Regions from separate parts of the Mus musculus genome. Here regions 1 and 3 are each reported to be linked to region 2. Evidence: microRNA targets listed by miRTarBase, many of them from high-throughput screens and not tested one by one. Region 2 holds a microRNA gene; each other region holds the end of a gene's coding sequence.
The links. The annotated mature microRNA mmu-miR-199a-5p reads CCCAGUGUUCAGACUACCUGUUC and lies in region 2 at 2,103-2,125, opposite strand. An mRNA with a match to its seed (bases 2 to 7 or 8) in the 3' UTR can be bound and repressed. Matches are read on the target gene's strand: a 7mer-m8 pairs with bases 2 to 8, a 7mer-A1 pairs with bases 2 to 7 and ends in A, and an 8mer does both.

Region 1: the mRNA of Nucb1 is a reported target of mmu-miR-199a-5p. Seed matches in the 3' UTR shown: 7mer-A1 at 4,507-4,513.
Region 3: the mRNA of Maoa is a reported target of mmu-miR-199a-5p. Seed matches in the 3' UTR shown: 7mer-A1 at 3,670-3,676.

Annotation. Positions count from the first base shown.
Region 1 is chr7:45,488,970-45,496,021 of GRCm38, forward strand. It overlaps Nucb1 (nucleobindin 1), which reads right to left. Exons shown (of 13, transcript NM_001163662.1): 8 at 6,586-6,644; 9 at 6,253-6,345; 10 at 6,084-6,176; 11 at 5,649-5,819; 12 at 5,148-5,244; 13 at 3,705-4,980. The coding sequence ends at 4,868. It also overlaps a transcript of Tulp2 not described here. Among named protein-coding and RNA genes, the nearest start is that of Dhdh, 3.7 kb to the left of the region's middle.
Region 2 is chr9:21,494,435-21,501,486 of GRCm38, forward strand. Mir199a-1 (microRNA 199a-1) reads right to left here and starts at 2,130; the gene lies at 2,061-2,130. It overlaps Dnm2 (dynamin 2), which reads left to right. Exons shown (of 21, transcript NM_001253893.1): 15 at 70-183; 16 at 4,824-4,933; 17 at 5,824-5,935.
Region 3 is chrX:16,683,846-16,690,897 of GRCm38, reverse strand. It overlaps Maoa (monoamine oxidase A), which reads right to left. Exons shown (of 15, transcript NM_173740.3): 13 at 6,823-6,934; 14 at 5,854-5,916; 15 at 3,086-5,666. The coding sequence ends at 5,523. Among named protein-coding and RNA genes, the nearest start is that of Maoa, 68 kb to the right of the region's middle.

The sequences.
Region 1 (7,052 bases), not on the chromosome of region 2:
CCCAAGCTGGCCTGCAATTCACAATATATATATATAGCCAAGGCTGCTTGCTGACCATAAACTCAAGGCAATCCTCCTGCCTCAGCTCCTTGAGTGCAGCAATACAGGCATACACCACCGTGCCTGTCTTTCAAGTTGCCTTTTTACTTTTTATTTTGAGATGGGGATTTGCTATTGTTATCAATTAGTCTGTGGGGCCCGGGCGTGGTGGCGCACGCCTTTGATCCCAGCACTCTGGAGGCAGAAGCCGGCGAATTTCTGAGTTCGAGGCCAGCCTGGTCTACAGAGTGAGTTCCAGGACTGCCAGGGCTACACAGAGAAACCCTATCTCGAAAAAAAAGCCAATAAAATAAAATAAAATAAAATAGTCTGTGGTCTCAAGAAAATGACCACAGGATCCAAAGTATTTCTGACAAAGCAAACGTTTTACTTCTGGAGAGGACCCAAGTTCTGTCCACTTGGCAGCTCGAAACCATCTTCCAGGATATCCAGTGCCGCCTTCTGTCCTCTGAGGGCACCAGGCATGCACATGGTGGGCATGCATGCATACAGACAAAACTCTTCAACGCATAAAATAAATTAGGAAGGAAGGAAGGAAGAAAAAGAAAATATGGAGGAGGAGGATTCCTTGGAACCAGAGTTGCAGGTGGCTGTGAGCCGTTCATTATATAGATGCTGGGAAGAACAGTAGATGCTCTTAACCTGAGCCCTCTCTCCACCCCCCAGATTATGTCTTTACAAGTCTCTTTAATGATGGAACTTGATTTATCTCACTTGCCGTCGAGAGGGGAAAGAATGTGCACCTTACTGATAATAGCTCCTCTTCACTTACAGCCCAGTTTCATTCTCTCTCGTCTGATCCACTGAACACTGACTGACTGTGCCCAGGTGTTCACAAGTCTCCTATTTAGTAAGGCATAGGAGGCTAATCAGTTATTGTGCTTAACTGATTGAACTAAGTGGCGGCGAGGCAACAGGGACTTTCAGCACTGGAGCGAGGGAAGCCAGGGCTGAGGTCACCTTCTCCTCCCATCTTCACGTAAGCCTTTGCCAGGAAAGACCGTTCCCTGTCACAGGCGCCACAGGTACACGTGCTTAAGATAGCAATCCTCCTGCCTCAGCTTCCCAAGCAGCTCGTACGGACAGGCCTGGATCACAGGCCTCAGAGCTGGTCCTGTGTCCTGTGACCCCTGGAGTTAGGGACAGAGTTGTCTTCCATGTCCTTCTGTTTCTTCTTGGCTTAGCCCTGGACCTCTCTGGGGGTCACTTTTCTGTTCTGGAGACTGAAGTCCCCACAGTTTCTACTTAGAAGAAAGTCTTAAGAGGATTAACTGAGTTCTATGGCCTATTATGTAAATATACTCAACCGGTTGGCAAAGTCTACCTTCACCAAGACTCCAATTTCCCTTGCCTGTAAGACCTTGGTAGCTGGAGGCGGTGCCCAGATTGTAAAAACCCCAAAGAGATCACCAGGAATCACAACCTGCTGTAATTGCAGGGTCTTTATTCAAGTTTGAGCTTAGGTCCCCAACCTTCTTGATGGAACAGGAAAGAGTGAAGCCTCTAAGTGAAGGGGGGTTATAAAGGAAAAAACCCCACAAGCAGGGTTTTCAAGCCGTGGCATTACAGGAGAGGATAAAGGAATGCCGCCCTCAAACCTGTAACATTTCTTCAGACGGGGGTGGGGGGTAGGGGGGTGGGGGGGGATCAGAACGGCACAGCTGGAAAGGGACCTTTCTGACCTGGGAAAAGTAACTTGTGCTGTTAGAAGCTGGTGCAGTTTTACAGCTGGCCACAGCTGTCTGGGAACACTTAATTGTCTCTTTTTCATCATCAAAGAGTGGGCTATTATCATTGCAAGGGTATTGGCTTATTTTTTTTTCAAGGGCAGGAGCCATCTGCACTGGAGAAATGTTGGTTGTTAATCAAATGAGTGTGAGTTTCAGTAACCTGGAGGCTAGGGTATGCTGCCTGTTCCCAAGGCTGGCATTTGCACTCGCGCGCGCGCACACACACACACACACACACACACACACACACACGAGGGGGGGTGTCAAGGGGAGGGAGTGCTAACTGCTCTGACTCCTCATGGGGTCAGGAGAGTGTAGGATTTGATGTGTAGGTTTCTTCAGCTGGCGGGATGACTCAGTAGTTAAGAACATGTGCTGCTCCTACAGAGAACCTGCATTTGGTTTCCAGCGTGTATCCACATTGCTCACAATCAACTGTAACTCCGGCTCCTGGGGATCTGATGCCCTCTCTGAATTCTGCGGACTCCTGCATTCTTATGGCATACACACAAAAACACACACATACTCAGAACTAAAAGTAAACCTTTTTTAAAAAAGGCTTAATGCAGGCAGGACTTGGTGGCACACACTTTTAATCATAGGATGCAATTGGCAGGTAGATTTCAGTGAGTTGAAGGCCAGCCTGGTCCACAGAGTTCCAAGGTCGCTGGAGCTGCACAGTGACAGCCTGCCTCGGAAAACAAAAAGCAAAACAAACAGAATGGGCCTTGGTGTGGGAGGAGCCGAAAAGCCCCACCCCTCCTGAGGCTCTCTAGGCAGTTGTTACTGAGAGAGAGAGTAGTATGTATATCTTTTTTCTCAGATGTAATTCTTGTTTTTTTGTTTGTTTTTGAGACAGGGTTTCTCTGTATAGCCCTGGCTCTCCTGGAACTCACTTTGTAGACCAGGTTGGCCTCGAACTCAGAAACCTGCCTGCCTCTGCCTCCCGAGTGCTGGGATTAAAGGCATGCACCACCTGTAGCTATTGTGTTGTATGGTGGGTTTTATTGTTTTGTTTTTCTCTCTAAATCACGTATGTGGTGCCATCTTGGGTAATAAGAATATATTTACTCAGAAGCCATGGCTGCTAACCAGGGGTAGCCAGGTCTAAGGTAATGAGCCTACAAGCACTTCCAGGTAGATAAAAAAGGGAAGAGCCACAAGACTGGTTCCTAAGACTCCAGCCATTACTCCTTTCTGTGAAACCACAGCTTCAGGTGATCTTGGGAGATTCAAGATAATATGGAGAGTGGGAGATAAGGGATGCACAGCTCCTGTGACATCAACGTGATGTGGTGAGACTTGGTCTGGGTGCAGCTGTTTATGCCCTTATGTAAATGAAGGCCTCCTAATTTCTTCAGAGACTGTCCCCATCCAAGATGAGGACAAAGCACCACAGGTAGCCACCATCCTGGTGTTCTCATGGCCACGGGAGGCCTCAAGACCAATGGGACTTGAGTGGGAAGCCGCATGGGCATGTGCTTTGGGGAGCAGTCTCCCACTGACAAAAAAGTCTGGATGTTGGTGCAGTCTGGAGTTGTCACAGCTATGTGGGATCATGGAGTTATGTCCCAGTAACTGACACAGAAGATAGGAGACTGGGACATTTCCTGTAATCCTGGCGCTGTCGCGCTGCACACACTGTGCAGGTCAGAGCACATGTTGAGACAGAACCTGTGGTTGAGGCTTGAATTGTGATCCCAGGGTGTGGCCTGCTTCTGCCTCCCTGTTGCTGGGGTCATAAGTAATACCTGGGTGACAAGAATCCAAACTGAGCTCCTCATGCCTGCACGAGCACTTTTCCAACTGAGCCATCTCCATGGCCCCTAAACATGTCTGGCTTGAACTCAAAGGACCCACCCACATCTCTCAGCCTCCCTGCCTGGTGTTTGGTCATTTTTTTGTTGTTTTTGTCTTTGGGCACAGGGCTTCATATAGTCTAGGTTGGCTTTGAACTTATAACACAGCCTAGGATGACAATGAACTCCTGATCTTCCTGCCTCTACCTCCCAAGCACTAGGATTACGGGCATTTATCCCTGTACCCCAGTTACGTGGACTGTGGGATACAGGGCCTCCGTCATGCTAGGCACACATTATGCCAACTGAGCCACAGACCCTTAATAATATATATTTTTAATTATTTAAGATAGTAAACTTTTTTTTTTCAAGCTCAGGTTTAGGTTTTCTGTTCCCATGGCAAAAATGAAGCAGCGAGGCCCTTGTGGCAAGAGCACACAGAAAGCCGCCTGGCAAGTCTCCTGGCAGGGAAAGTCATGTGCCCTAGGATACCAGGGAGGTGAGCAGGTGGCGTGCGTGCAGGCAGGGCTTGGAAGAGGGCAGGATATTCACACAGATACACTAATGTTTATTTGTGCCGGGCTATATTTGGATGGAACTGGGGCACAGAGCAGGACACAGCAGTGTGGCCTGAAGCCAGGGAAGTTGGTGAACCAATTTTCAGGAGCCCTGAGCAGGGTTGGACCTCAGCTAGGGGTGTAGCCATATCTGGGTACCTCCTGGGGCCATGGGGTAGGTATTGAGCCTGGGAGTTAGGGTAGGCTGATGGGGTGGTGGTAAAGGCCAGGAGTCCCAGGCAGAGCTGATAGCTACTTGAAGAACACCCCACATCCTGGTGGCCTCTAGCCACCAAAAGGAATTGAGATCATTGGCTCCACAGAAGGCAGAGTCAGAGACACTAAGCCAAGGTCCTGTGATCCAGTGACACTAGGTACAGGAAGCAGAGAGGCTGAGCCTGGAACAGAGAAGAGCAAAGTAGGCAGGTGGGCAGGCCTGGAGTGTGCACTCCAGGTGAGGTGAGCGAGCTCTCCTGCAACTTCAGCTCCTGTAGTTAATCCCTGACAGTGGAGGGAGGGAGCGAGAGAGGGAGGCAGAACCTGGACCCAGAGGCTGAGAGCAGAGAATGGTAGACCAGCAGAAGCACATCTGAGGAACAGGGTAGCCCCTGTTCTGCTCCCAGGAGGCCATGAGGGCGTTGGTCCCCAGGGAGGCTGCAAGGCCACTTCATCTGGCTTCCACACTGTCTGTGGGAACCTGAGGGCTGGGGTCTCTGAGGAGTTATAAATGCTGGGAATCCAGCTGTGGCAGCTCAGGGGGCTGCTCTGGGACCTTCTTCTCAGAAGCAGGCACATCTTTCTGGTCACCTGCTGGAGCTGGGACAGGAGCGTCATCTGCAGAGGAAACAGGAGAATGATGTTAGATAAAATTCCTCAACACGGGAAACAGGATTCTCAGGCCTCCTTCCTCAGCCTGAGACTCAGTCACGAATCCCCTGCTTCTGTCTTAGGGGCCTGGGACCCGGTCTTCCTCCTTCAGTGTCCAGGGCACAGAGCCGTACCTGTGTCTGCACGGAACTGCAGCTGCCCGTCAGGTTTGGAAGGCGGAGCGCTCTGTTCTTGCAGTTGCTGCTTCCTCTGCTCCATCTGCAGAACAGCCTGCAGGAGGCAGATGCACAGTCAGGAGGTTATGGCCCCAGGAAGATGCTATCTATAGCCAACTGCTAAGGGGCCACAGTCCCTTTTCTTCCCCATGGCCTTGGCTCCTCGTCACTGAGCTGGGATCCACACTAGTTAGGATTCCATTGTCTCCTGTCGTGGCTCAGGTGCTCCCACACTGAACTCTAGGCTCCCCTCACTGCCTCATGTAAAATGGCTGCCATGCACAGTCAGGCATGGAAAATCCTCTGCCCCTTTAATGACGGCAGCTATCACCTGCATGTATGTATCTAAGATTCCTAACATGGCAGCTACAGGCCATCCCACCCTGAAGATACCCATTTGGATAAAGAAAAGGGTCCTAAGAGAACCAGAGAATGGGCCCGAATTCCCCCACTGGTCACCTGCTGCAGCTCTCTCTTCTGTGCCTCCAGGCGGTCCTGGGAGCGCCCCAGGGCCTCTGTCTCCTGGCTGAGGCGCTGGGCCCTGGCATTCAGCTCAGCTTCCCGGGCAGCCAGCTCCTCTTCAAAACGCTTCAGCTCCTCCTCTGTGTAGGCTGGGGACATTTCCACTGTCTGCAGGGCACAGGACAGGGTCAGGCGATCAGTTAGGGCAAGCTCAGCCTCACTGAGCGGGAGAGGGGCGGAGGCTGGGGTGCATGTGTGTGCTACCTGACTGGAAACAGAGTGTTTGCTAAAGACTACAGAAAGAAGAACAGGGGTCTAGATAGGGAATGGCAGAATTCGGAACCAGAAGGAAGGGCAGGAGAGAGCCAGAGGTGCTGAAGGAAAGGCTGGACCCGGGAGACACTAAGGTCTGAGGGTTTCCCGTGTCCTCACCTTCCACCCCTCCCCAGTGTCCCCGAACTCCTTCCTCTGGGTGGATGCCAGGAACTCCTCCAGGGTCACAAGCCGGTCCTGGTTGGTGTCCACCTGGGGAGCCAGACCAAGGTTAGTGACTGTGCTGAGCCTGTTGTCCACTGCCCACCCTCCGCATGGCGTCTCTCACATTCTTCATCACGTGCTCCCGCATGCGAAGCCGTTCTTCCTCCATCTCTCTCATGTCATCCTCCTCATTCTTCGGGTCATACACCTTCTCCAGCTGCAGGGTGAAGGGAGAAGCGTGACACGCTGAGGGGCGCAGAACACCGCCACTCTTGGGGGACTTACCCCCCCCCCAGAGGACCAGTGGCGCCTGCTTCACTATTCATGGCTTCTTTGTCTCTAGGGGCTGCTGGGACTTACAGTTTTTCCTGCACCCTCACTGACAGGAAAGCAGAGGATAGGTTAGGGCGTAAGAGGCTGAAGTATGTCTCGCTCACAAAGCTTCCATTACACTCACCTCCTTGGTAAAGAGAGCTTCCAGTTCTTGCTCATCTAGGACACCATCACTGTTGATGTCTAGGGATGAGAAGAGATATGTTAGCGACAGGGCTGCATGAGTCTGGCCCTAAGGGAGAAGCTAGAGAAGGGATTGTGGGAGGGCGTGAGGTCTCTCAGCAGAGGACAATGGTGGCCATGGCCTGTAGGCCAGCAGGACCTGTTCTTATCAGCATGCATTCTGGCTGGGCATGGTGGCATACCCTTTTAATCCCAGCCTCTCTGAGTTACAGCCAGGCAGAAATCTTGAGTTTCAGGCTAGCCTGGTCTACAGAGTGAGTTTCAGGAGAGCCAGGGCTACATAGTGTCCCTGTCTTAAACACAAAACCAAAACCACAAACAACCCAAACACCAACAAACCAAAACCATTCTTTAGCAAACAGGGACCCAAGAATGGAATCCAGGGGCCTTGTGACCTCTGCCCTCTGA
Region 2 (7,052 bases):
TACTGGGGAGGAGGGGGTGGGTGGAGCAGCAGGGCTGTCCTCCCTGCTAAGCTGAGGCCTCTCCACCAGGTGATCCGCAGGGGCTGGTTGACCATCAACAATATCAGCTTGATGAAGGGTGGCTCCAAGGAGTACTGGTTCGTGCTGACAGCTGAGTCATTGTCTTGGTACAAGGATGAGGAGGTAAGCAGCTGGGGACAAGGGTGGCCTGATAAGGTAGGCAAGGGAGGTGGTCCCCAGACTGATTACCCCATTCCCCCAGTCACTTGAGAAAGGGAGTTTACAGTCAGGCATGCTGACGTGCTGAGACCCAGCACCAGTGGTAAGGTCCAGGCCTGTCCAAGTTATGTAGGAAGTGCCCCTGTCAGACAGTCCAGCTGGTAACATGCTTATCCTGCCACGGGAGCTCTGACTCATCCCAGAACCTAAGAGAAAAGGGAGGCGTGAAGGGCGCTCGTATTCCCAGCAGGCTCCGCAGGCAGTGCCTGCTGGCCAGCCAGGCTTGCCTCCTTGACAGGCTCCAGGCAAATAAGAGACCTGACTCAAAAAGCCAGAGCGCAGCGCCTGAGAGATGACACCTCAAGTGGTTCTCTGTCTTCCAGATCCACTTGCATGAGTATGTGCCTACACACAAACTTGAGTATACACCCACACAAAAGAAGAAACAGGAAAGCAAGCCAGGGGCCGTGGTGGTGTAGCTTAGCATGCACGGAACCTTTGGTCCCATCCCCACTTAGCATCGCATGCGTGCCTGCGATGCCCACACTCAGCAGGCTCCTTCACTAACATAGCTCGTTCAAGGGCAGCCTGCATTACAGTGAGGTTTTATCAGGAGGACTTCCGTCTGAAGGAGAGACCCTGGCCTCAGTTCTCTGCTGCTGGATGGGAACTGAGGGGGCATCCTAGTCAGGGCCAGGCTCCCAACATGTGCTCTGGTGGCCTGTACCAGCAGTCACCTCTGTAGGGTGTTCCAGCCACCATGTAGGAGAGACCCACACACACACCAGTGCACCAAAGGGACACAAGGACTCAGTGTGGTACCATATGTGACCTGTCCATGCACATTCCATTCCCATCTTAGGAGCTGGCCAGCACCCTGGCCCTGAAGTGGTGTAAGTGTCACCCCAAGGCCAGACTTCCCTGGTCTAGTTTCTGCTGTTGTTGGTTTTTTGGTTTGTTGGTTTGTTTTGGTTTTGGTTTTGGTTTTTTGAGACAGGGTTTCTCTGAGTAGCCCTGGCTGTCCTGGAACTTACTTTGTAGACCAGGCTGGCCTCAAACTCAGAAATCAGCCTGCCTCTGCCTCCCAAGTGCTGGGATTAAAGGTATGCGCCACCATGCCTGGCTCTGACCTGGCCATATTTTTTAGCATAACAAAGACTCTGGGATTATCCCCCAGAATGAGGCACCCAGTGTTGAGTTTCCAGCTCCAGCTGTAAGAAAAGTAACCTGAAAGCTGGGCAGACTCTGTGTGTGTGTGTGTGTGTGTGTGTGTGTGTGTGTGTTTTCAAGGTTCATTGCAGAGGAGCGTAGCCCTGGGCCTAGCTGACAAGCTTCTTCCTTTGGACTGGGAATGACCATTCCAATTCCCCTCATCTGGAGACAGAAAGCAGGCACTTGGGCCTCACTGTAGACAAGGCCTGTAGCAGGGCCACACCACCACCAAGAGGTATGAAAGGAGCCCTCTGTATGTATGCCAAAGATGAAGCTCACTGAGATCTAGGGGCTGTGGAGACCCTGACACCTTTAATGGTCCTGGTAAGGGACCTAAGTATCCCAGGTAGCAGCCATCCCTGAGACCCAGACCACTCTTGTAGACAAGCCCAAGATAAAGACCAGCAGGGGACTTTTCTTTATTTTAGGAGTAAACCAGAAGATAACAGTGTCGTTGGAAATAAGGAGAAAGGCCCAGTTCACCTGAGGACATCCCTCCCCACCCCAGCGCTCGCTCAGTCCTGGGCCTACTTTTTCCACCCTCCTCCCAGAATCTTCCCCAGTGGAGAGAGGTAGCACTCACCTTAGGTGGTCTGGAAGTTCCCACTGTTGCTGCTGGCCCAAGCCCAGCCTAACCAATGTGCAGACTACTGTACATGTCCCAGCCTCCTGAACAGGTAGTCTGAACACTGGGATGGCGGGGATGGCTGTTCAGTTCCTCAGCGTGGCCATGGTACAGGCCAGGGAGTCTGCTCCTCCCAAGATCCTCCATTCAGTTCATCCACGCACCCTGAACTCTTCTGACGTGGCAAGGCCAAGGCCACTTGCTCACATCTGGAGAAAGTTGAGATTTTCAGGAAATCCGAAAGCAGGCTGGAGGAGGGCTTGGGTCGATGGCCCGTGCCGCAGAAGGAGGTCCTTGTGCAGTTGCATACTTTGCGAGCAAGCGCATGCGTATGCTCGTGTGTGTGTGTGTGTGTGTGTGTGTGTGTGTGTGTGTGTGTGTGTGTGCGTGCGTGTGAGAGAAAGAGAGAGAGAGAGAGATGGCAGCCACCCGATCCTGGGCAGAATCACACATAAACAGTTCCAGATGTGGCAAGCCTAGATGTCTGTGACTCATTTACTTGGCCCTGGCCTGCTGGCAGGAAGCTTTCTGTCTCGTGACACCATAGGGTAGGGGCCACAGAGTTGCTTCTGGGAACTTACCCTCCTCTGGAAACAGAGGCTCCTTTGGGGATCCCCAAAATCCCAGGTTTGTTTCTTATAACAAGACAGACTTCAGGCCGCCTTCCCTGTCTGGAGCTCTCGGTATGCAGTGTGTGTGTGTGTGTGTGTGTGTGCGCGCGCGCACGCGCGTGCGCGTGTGTGCGAGTGTTCCACACTCCCTGCTCACAGCCTCTCCGCCTGTGCTTCATTCAGGCAGTCAGACCTGGTGAGGTTGACTGGGAGCCAGTCCATGAATTGGCTGGAAACTGGGGCCACAACTGTGCCACCCTCCCCAAGAGTAACACTCATCATTCCTCAGACAGATGGGGATCGGGAACGCAGAGGAGAAGCAGTGTGTTCAAAGGCAGAGCAAAGCTTGAACACAGCAGTTCCTCATACAGTGTTCAGACTGGCCCCATTCTGCACTAGAGCTACGGGGGAATTCAGAATTGTATTCCACAAAGCTGCTTTCTGGGACTTTCTGTTCGTGCAGTGGACAGAAACATGAGAAAGAGTCATGAAGGATCTCCAGTGAGCCTGGAGAGAGTGCTCTGTGGGGAAGAGTACTTACGCACCTGCGCACCCATGGGTGCTGTGAGTGCCTGGGACTTCAGCACTAGGTGTGCAAAGAGGAGGAGGCTGGGGCTTGCTGGCTCCAGGTTTAGTAAAAGCACTTGTCTCACAGAAGTAAACATCATCTTCCCCATGAAGGCCTCTTGGTTCTCCTCAGTGTGTTGCACATGACACACACAGGAGGACATGTCCAGGTGATGGGCTGAGGCCCAGCTCAGTTGTTGGAGCTTTTCCTAGTGCTTCATGAACTGGGTGTGACTCATGGCTCAAGCGGTAACTCCTTACAGCATTGGTGAGCAAGATGCGAGAGGATCAGGAATTCAGCTCATCTTCAGCTGAATAGGGAATTGAATGCTACCCTGGGCTATAGGAGACTTTATTCTGGAAAAAAAAAAAAAAGTCTGTGTGGTGCAGAAAATCCCCAGTGAGCTGTTGTCATCTACAACCATTCTTAGGTTAGTTACACAGTGTCCCTGCTCTGTGCTGGACAGACAGCTTCCTAATCTGAGCAGACAGAAGGAAAAGTGCCCCCCCCCCAAAAAAAGCTGGGCAGTGGTGGCACATGCCTTTAATCCCAGCACTTGGGAGGCAGAGGCAGGCAGATTTCTGAGTTCGAGGCCAGCCTGGTCTACAGAGTGAGTTCCAGGACAGTCGGAGTATACAGAGAAACCCTGTCTCAGAAAACCAAAAATAGAAGAGGAAGGAAAAGTGTCACAGGCCTATTGTTATGGCTCCTTGGGAGGCAGGAGGAACACAACTTCATGGAAGGCCTGTCTCAAAAGCAGGAGGAGGAGGAGTGTTGCCTGCACGGCCAGCATCGTGCTTGCCTGAGAGAGACCCTGGGTTCCGTCCCCGGCTTGGGTCGCTAGAGCGCTTGTCAGGCATGCATGGAGTAGCAAAGCCACTGACGCTCCTGTGACAGTGGTGCCCAGGCATCAGTTTCCCAGGCCTGGCGTCTGAAATAGCCTCCTGCGCGCCAGTCTCCCTCCCTGTGAGTGATTGCCGCCATAACTCAGATAATGGGGAGAGCCACCTGGGAAGGCATGAAGTTAGGGCTGTGAGGTCTGAGTGACCACTGCATGTGTGTTCTCTGGATCAAAAACAAAGCTGACAGCCTTCCTTTCTGGCAACTGCTGGACCAGCCAGGTGGTAGGCAGTCATCATAGCATCTGTAGTAGGGTGGCATGAGGTCAGCCCTGAGGGACCTTCTGCATATAGACCTAGGAAGGCCAGGAGGGGGGCAGTACAGGGTGTAGGGACAAGAACAGTCTGGACGGGGTCGGTCCGTACACAGGTCCTGGGATGAGAGAGAATGTTAAGGGAACGTTTGACCAAAAAATCAAAAACAGCACCTGGGAGGCAGAGGCAGACGAATTTCTGAGTTCGAGGACAGCCTGGTCTACAGAGTTGAGTTCCAGAATAGCCAGGGCTATATAGAGAAACCCTGTCTCGAAAAAAACAAAAAACAAACAAAAAACAACAAGGGGACGTTTGAGTAAATGTGGGGTGACAGAGCTCTCAGCACACCAAGTGCCGGGTGTTGGCAGTGGCTGTCAGATTGTTGCTGGCTCTGCCCCGGCAGCTCAGGTGAGACCCCTGCCCTCTCTCCTCAGGAGAAAGAAAAGAAGTACATGCTGCCACTGGACAACCTCAAGATCCGGGACGTGGAAAAGGGCTTCATGTCCAACAAGCACGTGTTTGCCATCTTCAACACAGAGCAGAGGTGAGGAAGAGCCAGCCCAGCAGGCCCTTTGCCAGGGTCTTGCCTAGCACAGAGCTATCCCAGGGACATTCCTGTGTGGTGTGGGCGGAGCAACATGGACAGACAACTGACATGGATGCAGTAAGCATGAGGGCCTCAGTGCAACCCTCACACACATACAACTCTCATACACACAACAACCCTCACACACAATCCTCACACACACATAGCCCTCACACAAACACACAACCCTCACACACATAATCCTCACAAAAACATAGCCTTCACACACACAGTCTTCACACACACACACACAAAACCCTCACACGATACAATCCTCACACACATACAACCTTCACACACACAACCCTCACATACACACAACACTCACACACAGTACAAGGAAACGTCTGGCAGGGTGCTGGGGAGGCAGAAAGCAGGATCCTCGGTGCCCGCTAAACCTGCTGACCGGTCTAGGCAAGTCTGTGAGCTTCGGGCCAGTGAGACAGACCCTGTCTAAAAGAGTGAGGTGCTCAGATAAAGTGAGGAAGGGCGTCTGGTGCTGACCTCTGACCTCTGCATGCACATACACCCATGCACTTACTCAGGGCTCGACAGTGCAGACAGTGTAGGCTGAGTCTATTCCTGCTGCTATAGGATATTCTGGTAGACATTGTTGCTGTGGTCTTCCTTACAAACACCTCAGTGTCTCCACACCTCAGTGGGCGATCCAAAGCCAGAGCTGGACTGTGTGCGGTACTTGGTGCTATAGTATACCTGGCAGACACACCCAGAAACCTCTTAACAAACTAGGGAAGGTACTAGAACCACCTTCGTACCCAGATCAGGCAGAGAGCCCCCAGAGCCCATGGTCTTAGTGGCCAGTCAAGTCCCTCTACCACTCACTCCAGGAATGTCTACAAGGACCTTCGACAGATTGAACTGGCTTGTGACTCCCAGGAAGATGTGGACAGCTGGAAGGCTTCGTTCCTGCGCGCTGGGGTCTACCCAGAGAAGGACCAGGTGAGGGGGTTCCTGCGCGCTGGGGTCTACCCAGAGAAGGACCAGGTGAGGGGTTCCTGCGCGCTGGGGTCTACCCAGAGAAGGACCAGGTGAGGGGTTCCTGTGTGCTGGGGTCTACCCAGAGAAGGACCAGGTGAGGGGTTCCTGTGTGCTGGGGTCTACCCAGAGAAGGAAAAGGTGAGGGGGTTCCTGTGTGCTGGGGTCTACCCAGAGAAGGAAAAGGTGAGGGGTTCCTGTGTGCTGGGGTCTACCCAGAGAAGGACCAGGTGAGGGGGTTCCTGCGCGCTGGGGTCTACCCAGAGAAGGACCAGGTGAGGGGTTCCTGTGTGCTGGGGTCTACCCAGAGAAGGACCAGGTGAGGGGTTCCTGTGTGCTGGGGTCTACCCAGAGAAGGAAAAGGTGAGGGGGTTCCTGTGTGCTGGGGTCTACCCAGAGAAGGAAAAGGTGAGGGGTTCCTGTGTGCTGGGGTCTACCCAGAGAAGGACCAGGTGAGGGGGTTCCTGCACGCTGGGGTCTACCCAGAGAAGGACCAGGTGAGGGGTTCCTGCGCGCTGGGGTCTACCCAGAGAAGGACCAGGTGAGGGGGTTCCTGTGTGCTGGGGTCTACCCAGAGAAGGAAAAGGTGAGGGGTTCCTGCGCGCTGGGGTCTACCCAGAGAAGGACCAGGTGAGGGGTTCCTGTGTGCTGGGGTCTACCCAGAGAAGGAAAAGGTGAGGGGTTCCTGTGTGCTGGGGTCTACCCAGAGAAGGAAAAGGTGAGGGGTTCCTGCGCGCTGGGGTCTACCCAGAGAAGGACCAGGTGAGGGGGTTCCTGTGTGCTGGGGTCTACCCAGAGAAGGAAAAGGTGAGGGGTTCCTGCGCGCTGGGGTCTACCCAGAGAAGGACCAGGTGAGGGGTTCCTGTGTGCTGGGGTCTACCCAGAGAAGGAAAAGGTGAGGGGTTCCTGTGTGCTGGGGTCTACCCAGAGAAGGAAAAGGTGAGGGGTTCCTATGTGCTGGGGTCTACCCAGAGAAGGACCAGGTGAGGGGGTTCCTGCGTGCTGGGGTCTACCCAGAGAAGGAAAAGGTGAGGGGGTTCCTGCGCGCTGGGGTCTACCCAGAGAAGGACCAGGTGAGGGG
Region 3 (7,052 bases), not on the chromosome of region 2:
ATCGATCAGCCCTTGCACATCACTGAGGTTTCCTCATTGCAAGCGATAGGGTGATCATGATTTCCCCACTAACTCATTTTTTGGCTGGCCTCTTTTTCAGAGTTCGCCCTAAGTCATTTAGCAGTTACTGTCACACAGCACTGCGGTATCCAGAGAAGGGCAACTTTTCTCGTGCACAGTCCAACCTAAGACACGGGGCCTGGTGGCGATAGGGTTACCCTATGACGGGTAAGGCTGTGACATTAGAGGAACGACCTAAAACAGGAGCCACGGCGGATGGACATAATTGCACAGGCCTAGTCCAGCCTCATTTTTTTTAAAACAAAAAGGGGGAGATGTGGGAAGCCACAAGTGCTGTTGCAGAGTGGCGCTGACTACTGCTGTCCACCACGCATAAGTTTGGACAAACAACCAATGTGTACATATGCAGTAAAGTTTTTTGCAAAGACACTGCCTGGCCCGGGCATGATAATGAGGCTTTGAGAGTATAACCAATCAGATGTGAGACATGCAAATGAGGTATGATAATGAGGCTCTGTGAGGTACAGAGAGAGTAGCCAATCAGATGAGGAACATGCAAATGAGGCTTAGTGCATAACCAATCCGGGTGTGAGACACGCCTCTCCTAGGCCTATATAAGCAGCACCAGTTCTGGGCTCGGGTCAATTCGCCTCTGCAATCAAGCTCTCCCAATAAACATGTGCAGAAGGATCCTGTTGCAGCATAGTTCTTGCTGGTCGAGTCGGGTGCGCACAAGAATTAGTGTGATGTTCCATGGATGTTTAAGCATCTTTCCCATTCTCCTTTCATCCTCAATCAGCATTCCCTTCCCCCAGTATACACCCATGCCATACCACTTCATTCTTCCCCATTCCATTTATGAATTTCAGTGGTTCATGAGAAATATCTTATGCTCATTAATAGGAAAAGCTGTTTCACACAGAGGTGTGACTGTAAAAGAATTTAAGTCAGTAGGCAAAATGCTTACACATGACTTAAGGGAGGTCTAGAAGTATCCTTTATCCAAAGTTTTTGCATGAGGCCTCCAAAGCTACCTTCAGAAATTTGACTCCAGTTTAATCAATCACTCTGATTCAAACACACACACACACACACACACACACACACACACAGAGTTATCACTTGAGTCGTCCTGCCTTATCTTTAGACGAGAAAAAAAAAAAAAGGCCTTGCCAAAGGGAACAAAAGCCCCATGTGAGAGGGAAAAAACTGTTGTTACAAAGTGCCCTCCTTTTGAGGAATCACCAGGTTCTTCTGTCTAAGGATTCTTTATGGATTCTTTCTGTACTGTGAACCGCATTAGTTTCAGACTTAACCTATTTCACATTGTTGTCCTGTTTACTAGAATTGTATCAGTCAGCACAGATCAAACGGGTAGTTTCTATAGAATGATGAGAATTCTCTCCACGCCTTTCCCCACATGATGTCTGGCACTGCTCTTGCCAGCCATGACATGGCTATGTGGATATGCCTGTATGGGCAGGACATACGAACAGAAGAAGTGTTGCTAGGGCTGTCACTAAAGAGGGCTATTGCTATGTTTTCTGGTTTGTTGTTTGATCTTCTTTTACCCACTCCTGGTAATTTTACTCAATGATTGCTGGTATTGTGGTTCCTTCCTCAGTGGGTAAAGCATCCAAAAACAATTTGGCATTCAGGTGGTATAAACTGGATTTTTAAAAAAAGAATCAGGAACCCAAGAACAATTTAGTCATATCAAGCAAATTTTTAGCAGCACCTTTAATTGGCCTGCAATTATCAAAAGGAATTCTTACCTTTCAGAATGACACATAACTCCTAGGTCATCTAGTCTTTACTTCTCTATAAGGTCTCTCATGCTTGCTATTCACTTTTAGCTGATTATTGCGGACAACTATTTGGGTCTTTTTAAATTTTTTAAATTTAACTTTATTTTTTATTTATTCACTTTACATCCCACTCACTGCCCCACTCCTGGTCACCTCCTCACACAATACTTTCCCCATCTCTCCTCCTCTGAGTGGGTAAGAGTCCCTCTGGGTATCCCCACCCTGGCACTTCAAGTCTCAGTGAGGCTAGGCATTTCCTCTACCCAAAGAGGCCAGTTGTAAGCATATATTTTTCCCTTTGATTTTTGCTAGTAATGTGTAGGTAGGGTTATCCTTTAAGTCATTTTCAGGGTTCCTTTAAACTTGTTTTTTCCTTTATAAAAAATAATGCAGAAATAAAGCCTTCTCTTTAATAGGGACAGGTTCATAGAGATAGTGACACTACTCAAAGTTCAAGTCCAAAATGGCTTATACTTGACAAAGTTATTTTCTGTGCTTTGCAGAACTAGATTGTCTTGCAGAAAATGACATCCTGCATCCCCAGCTGCTGCGAAGACAGGCTGATCCCAATTTCTCATTAGGACTTGAAAATTGCAGTTGTAGGTTCTGATTACAAATTGTTTCTGGACCTGTCTTGTCTGTAATCACACTCCCTTCCATAGAGTATCTGATAGAAGGACTAAAACCTAGATCTTGCCTTGATAGGGGGTGAAGGGAAGTCTTAACAACCTTACTACCTTCCCATTCGAATGTGCTGAGTTTTCAGTTGCAACTGCATTGCACACTGACTGTCCTCTGCACAAACTTACCTTCCTCATCCTTTTTAGGATGCTGTCTCTAGCAAACTTTCAGCATCTTGGTCTATTCCTAGGAAATCCAAAAAGTGATAAGAAATAATGCTAGCAATAGAATACATTAATCACATAGACGATATCAAGCACAGGACTGTCTTTCCACACATGAGTAAATTGAGGCAGAGAAACCAAATGATTTTCCCAAGGCATCGTAAGGTAGTTAGGTGAGAAAACTTGTCAAAATCCACACCTGTGGCCCAGTCAGGCCTACTATAGTATTATAGCATTTGATCTATTCCCAGTCAACCTTCATTACATGAAGATCAAACCAAGTGTTAAGAATTTGGAGTTGCATTATCAGGTGCTTTTAAAAAGTTCATCCTCTGTAGACTTCTGGCAATAAGAAGCCATTTGAAGCTTTTGATAAACTATTAGCCAAATCAGAGAAGCCTATCTGAATGAAGGATGGCATCACATTTTATTAAGAACAACAACAAAACTCAGTACCACACAGACAATATCTTACTTCAGTGGCAAATCAAATACATATGCATATGCCCATATGTAGCTCTGTGGCCAACTTTATTTTTACGTGGAACATTAGGTACCAAGTTTACAACCATCAAGCAAAACATAGTTCACAGTCCTTCAGTAAAGTTTAAATTTATTCAGTGTAATATGAGATCATATTTAACAGCTATGACAAAAAGATGTACTTTTAAAAAACCAATTCTCATCCTAACTATGGAGAAAGGCCAACTGGCCATCAGATCTATGAAGGGGATTATCAATCTCTTGAAATGATTTTTGTTTCTCTGTTGCAAAGTAAAGGGCAATGTTAACTTTGTGGTAGACAGCCTCACATATAGTGCTACTTTTTTTTTTAATTTTTTTATTACGTATTTTCCTCAATTACATTTCCAATGCTATCCCAAAAGTCCCCCATACCCTTCCCCCACTCCCCTACCCACCCACTCCCACTTTTTGGCCCTGGCGTTCCCCTGTACTCGGGCATATAAAGTTTGAGTGTCCAATGGGCCTCTCTTTCCAGTGATGGCCTACTAGGCCATCTTTTGATACATATGCAGCTAGAGTCAAGAGCTCTGGGGTACTGGTTAGTTCATAATGTTGTTGCACCTAGAGTACTACTCAGCTATTAAAAAGAATGAATTTATGAAATTCCTAGGCAAATGGTTATACCTGGAGGGCATCATCCTGAGTGAGGTAACACAATCACAAAAGAACTCAAATGATATGTACTCACTGATAAGTGGATATTAGCCCAGAAACTTAGTATACCCGAGATATAAGAGACAATTTGTAAAACACATGAAACTGAAGAAGAACATAGACCAAAGTGTGGACACTTTGCCCCTTCTTAGAATTGGAAACATATAGTGCTTCTTAATTCCCGTTACATGTCTAAACACATGGGCTGTACTGGAAATCATTTTAATACCCAGACTGTAGCTTAATAGGGTTGATATCATTAGGATAGATCAACTGGTTTTCTAAAAAGCAGAGAGTAAACTGCAAACTCAGGAGGTTTTCAATATTCAACAGTTTAGTGTTAACAATCTGAATACTTTTAGACCTCTTGCCTATCCACTCCTTTAAATCATTTCAAGATGAGTCACGACTAAGTTAATACACACAACTGGAGCAGATTAGTGCTGAGAGCTCTCACTACAGTTTGATATGAATTGAGGCAACACCTTATGGACTGGAGAACATCTAAGACATCACTGAATCTTTTAAGTTAGTTAAAATGCTTTTGAATTATAAGATAGAGTAAGGTAAGAAATCTAGATCTTTGCTCTTAGACTGGGCAAAACTTTAAAGGCTGTAAGTCCACACATCAGCATCTAGAGGCTTAAATTTACATTTTGGATAAAGCTAGTATAATAAACTTGGGTTGGCCAGCATATGCTGACATAATTCTCCTTAAATAAAAACTATACTTACATTTTTTTTTAAAGTGCTTTGTGGTTGAAACCTTTGGAATTTTTTTTTTTAATTGACAGGATTTCAGATGGGAAAGAAAAAAATACAGGCACCATTCTGGACCCACAACTCTACTAAGATATAGAACCCAGTACAGATATATAAAATCATTCAATTTAATGTCTGTTATAAAACCTAATAATTAAAAGAGGTCATGTTATCACACAGAGCCCTAATTTCATTCTGTGTTTGACTGTAACAACAGAGAAAATTTCATATGTCCTTTGGCACTTGAGAGAAAATGGTATACTATCAACCAAGACAAATATTTAACCATTTTGAAGACACAGGTAGGCTTAGAAATCTAATTCTATGATCAGACAGCCATAGAACACATTAAAATAATGCTACTTTCCTTAAATCAGCACAGAATGTTACTGACAAGGAGCAATGCTTGTCTAGATACAGTCCAGAAAAGGAAGTGCCTATTGTAGTGTGCGTCACATGGAACTAGTAATCAGTGAGGATACCTAGGGAACATTTCAGCCACTATTTTCCTCTGTACACATTGGATGCTACACAAAAGTCACAGTAAGTCAAGTTATTTTATTTCTGAAACCATTAGCTGTTTTGCATTAAAGGCAAAAGAAAAAAAAAAACAGAATCCAGAAATTATTCCTCATAAGCACTTAACTTTTTGAAATTAAGCACTCAACATTTTATTCTATCAACCAACACAAATTAGTCTAACAAACAAGATGAAACTCATTCTTATGGAAATTAGCTAGGTGATTCTTTGGACTGTTACCACTTTACAAAGACTGAAATTAAACTGAGCAGGGTTAAATCAAGTGCACTTAAATTGCCCAAACCACAGGCTGTAATTCATCCTCACTTTCCTTTACATGCTCATTGTGCTAAGGATGATCAAGCAGGAGGCCTGTGGGTGAAAACTTCAGGACTGGGGCTGTTTAAACTTGTACAATACAAAGCAGAGAAGAGCCACAGAAGTGGAAAAACCAGTGATCTTGAGCAGACCAGGCACGGAAGGCAGGTTCCTCTCTAAGAAGGTGTGGGTAATTTCAAGAGCTGGAACATCCTAAACAGATGAACACAGATCATTAATAGAAATTCTTGCTATAGTTAAAAGAAACAAAGCCTATCTGTAGTAGTATGTATTTCTATGCTAAGACAGTTGCATCTATAGTAAAAGCAGAGGCTAAATGAAGGACAGTGCAATTTTATGTGCTGTAGTTGGTCTGTAGATATGGAGTAATCAAACTTACCTTGGACTCAGGCTCTTGAACCCATATATCCTTCTTGGCAACTTTTCCTAGAGCATTCAAGACCTGAAAGAAAGTGATTACAGCATTATACTGTGACATTATATACTGTTAACAGATTCAAAATCATATTAAACATTGGTGAACCCACAGGTGGGTGGCAAAGAAATGCATACATAGCATACATAGACTATCAGTATCAAGAAATAGATGCATGAATGGATAAAGAAATTTTGTTATTCATATACAATGAAAGATTATTCAGTTTTAAATAAGAGTGAAATCCTGTCAATGTGACAACATGGATGAGTTTAGAGGACAACACAATCATAAATGAAATCTGCCATGCTTAGAAAGACAAATAGTACATGCTATCCATTATACACAGAAGGCAAGTAAGTGGATCCTATAGAAATGGAGAAAACAACAGAGGGTACCAGAAGCTAAGAAATGTACCAGAGAGTAAGGCTACTGGGACTGGATAATAAATATCAAAATATAATTCATTGGGTGGAATAAATTCTAACATTCTATAGCAATAGAATGGGTTACTAAAGATAATCACAATTTACTATGTAATTCCAAAGAGCTAGAAGAAAGGATTTGAATATTTCAAAGAAATGATAGATATATGATGTGAAGGAGATGATAATGATCTTGATTTGACCACTGTATACTACACACAGGCATCAAAATTTTGTGTACTCCACATATGTGCACAATTGTGTCAATGAAATAGCCCAAATATCTAGTTTCTTTCTGTATAGTTTCTTTCTGTATATTTTATCTTTCTGTAAAGATAAAATAATCAGAAAGATCAGATGACAAAAATGTTTCTTATAGGGCTGGAGCTATAGCTCACTGGAATAACCCATACCTCTCATGCATGCCACCTTCAGTTCAATTCCCAGTACTGCTGCCCATGATGAAATTACAATTGAAAAAGGAGTACACCTTAGTTTCCTTCCTTACCTCTCTAGCTGCTCGTTCTCCAGCTTCAACTGCACCTTCCATGTAGCCACTCCACTGTGTTGCTGTCTCTGTGCCTGCAAAGTAAATCCTGCCTACTGGCTGCCGAATCACCCTTTAAAGAAAAAAAGATGTCACATAGTTACATGGGAAGGTGCTGAGGGGAAATTATCCAATCACTCCCCACCTTCATTTACTCCACAAAGGGAAGGGAAACTAATCAAGGAGGAAAT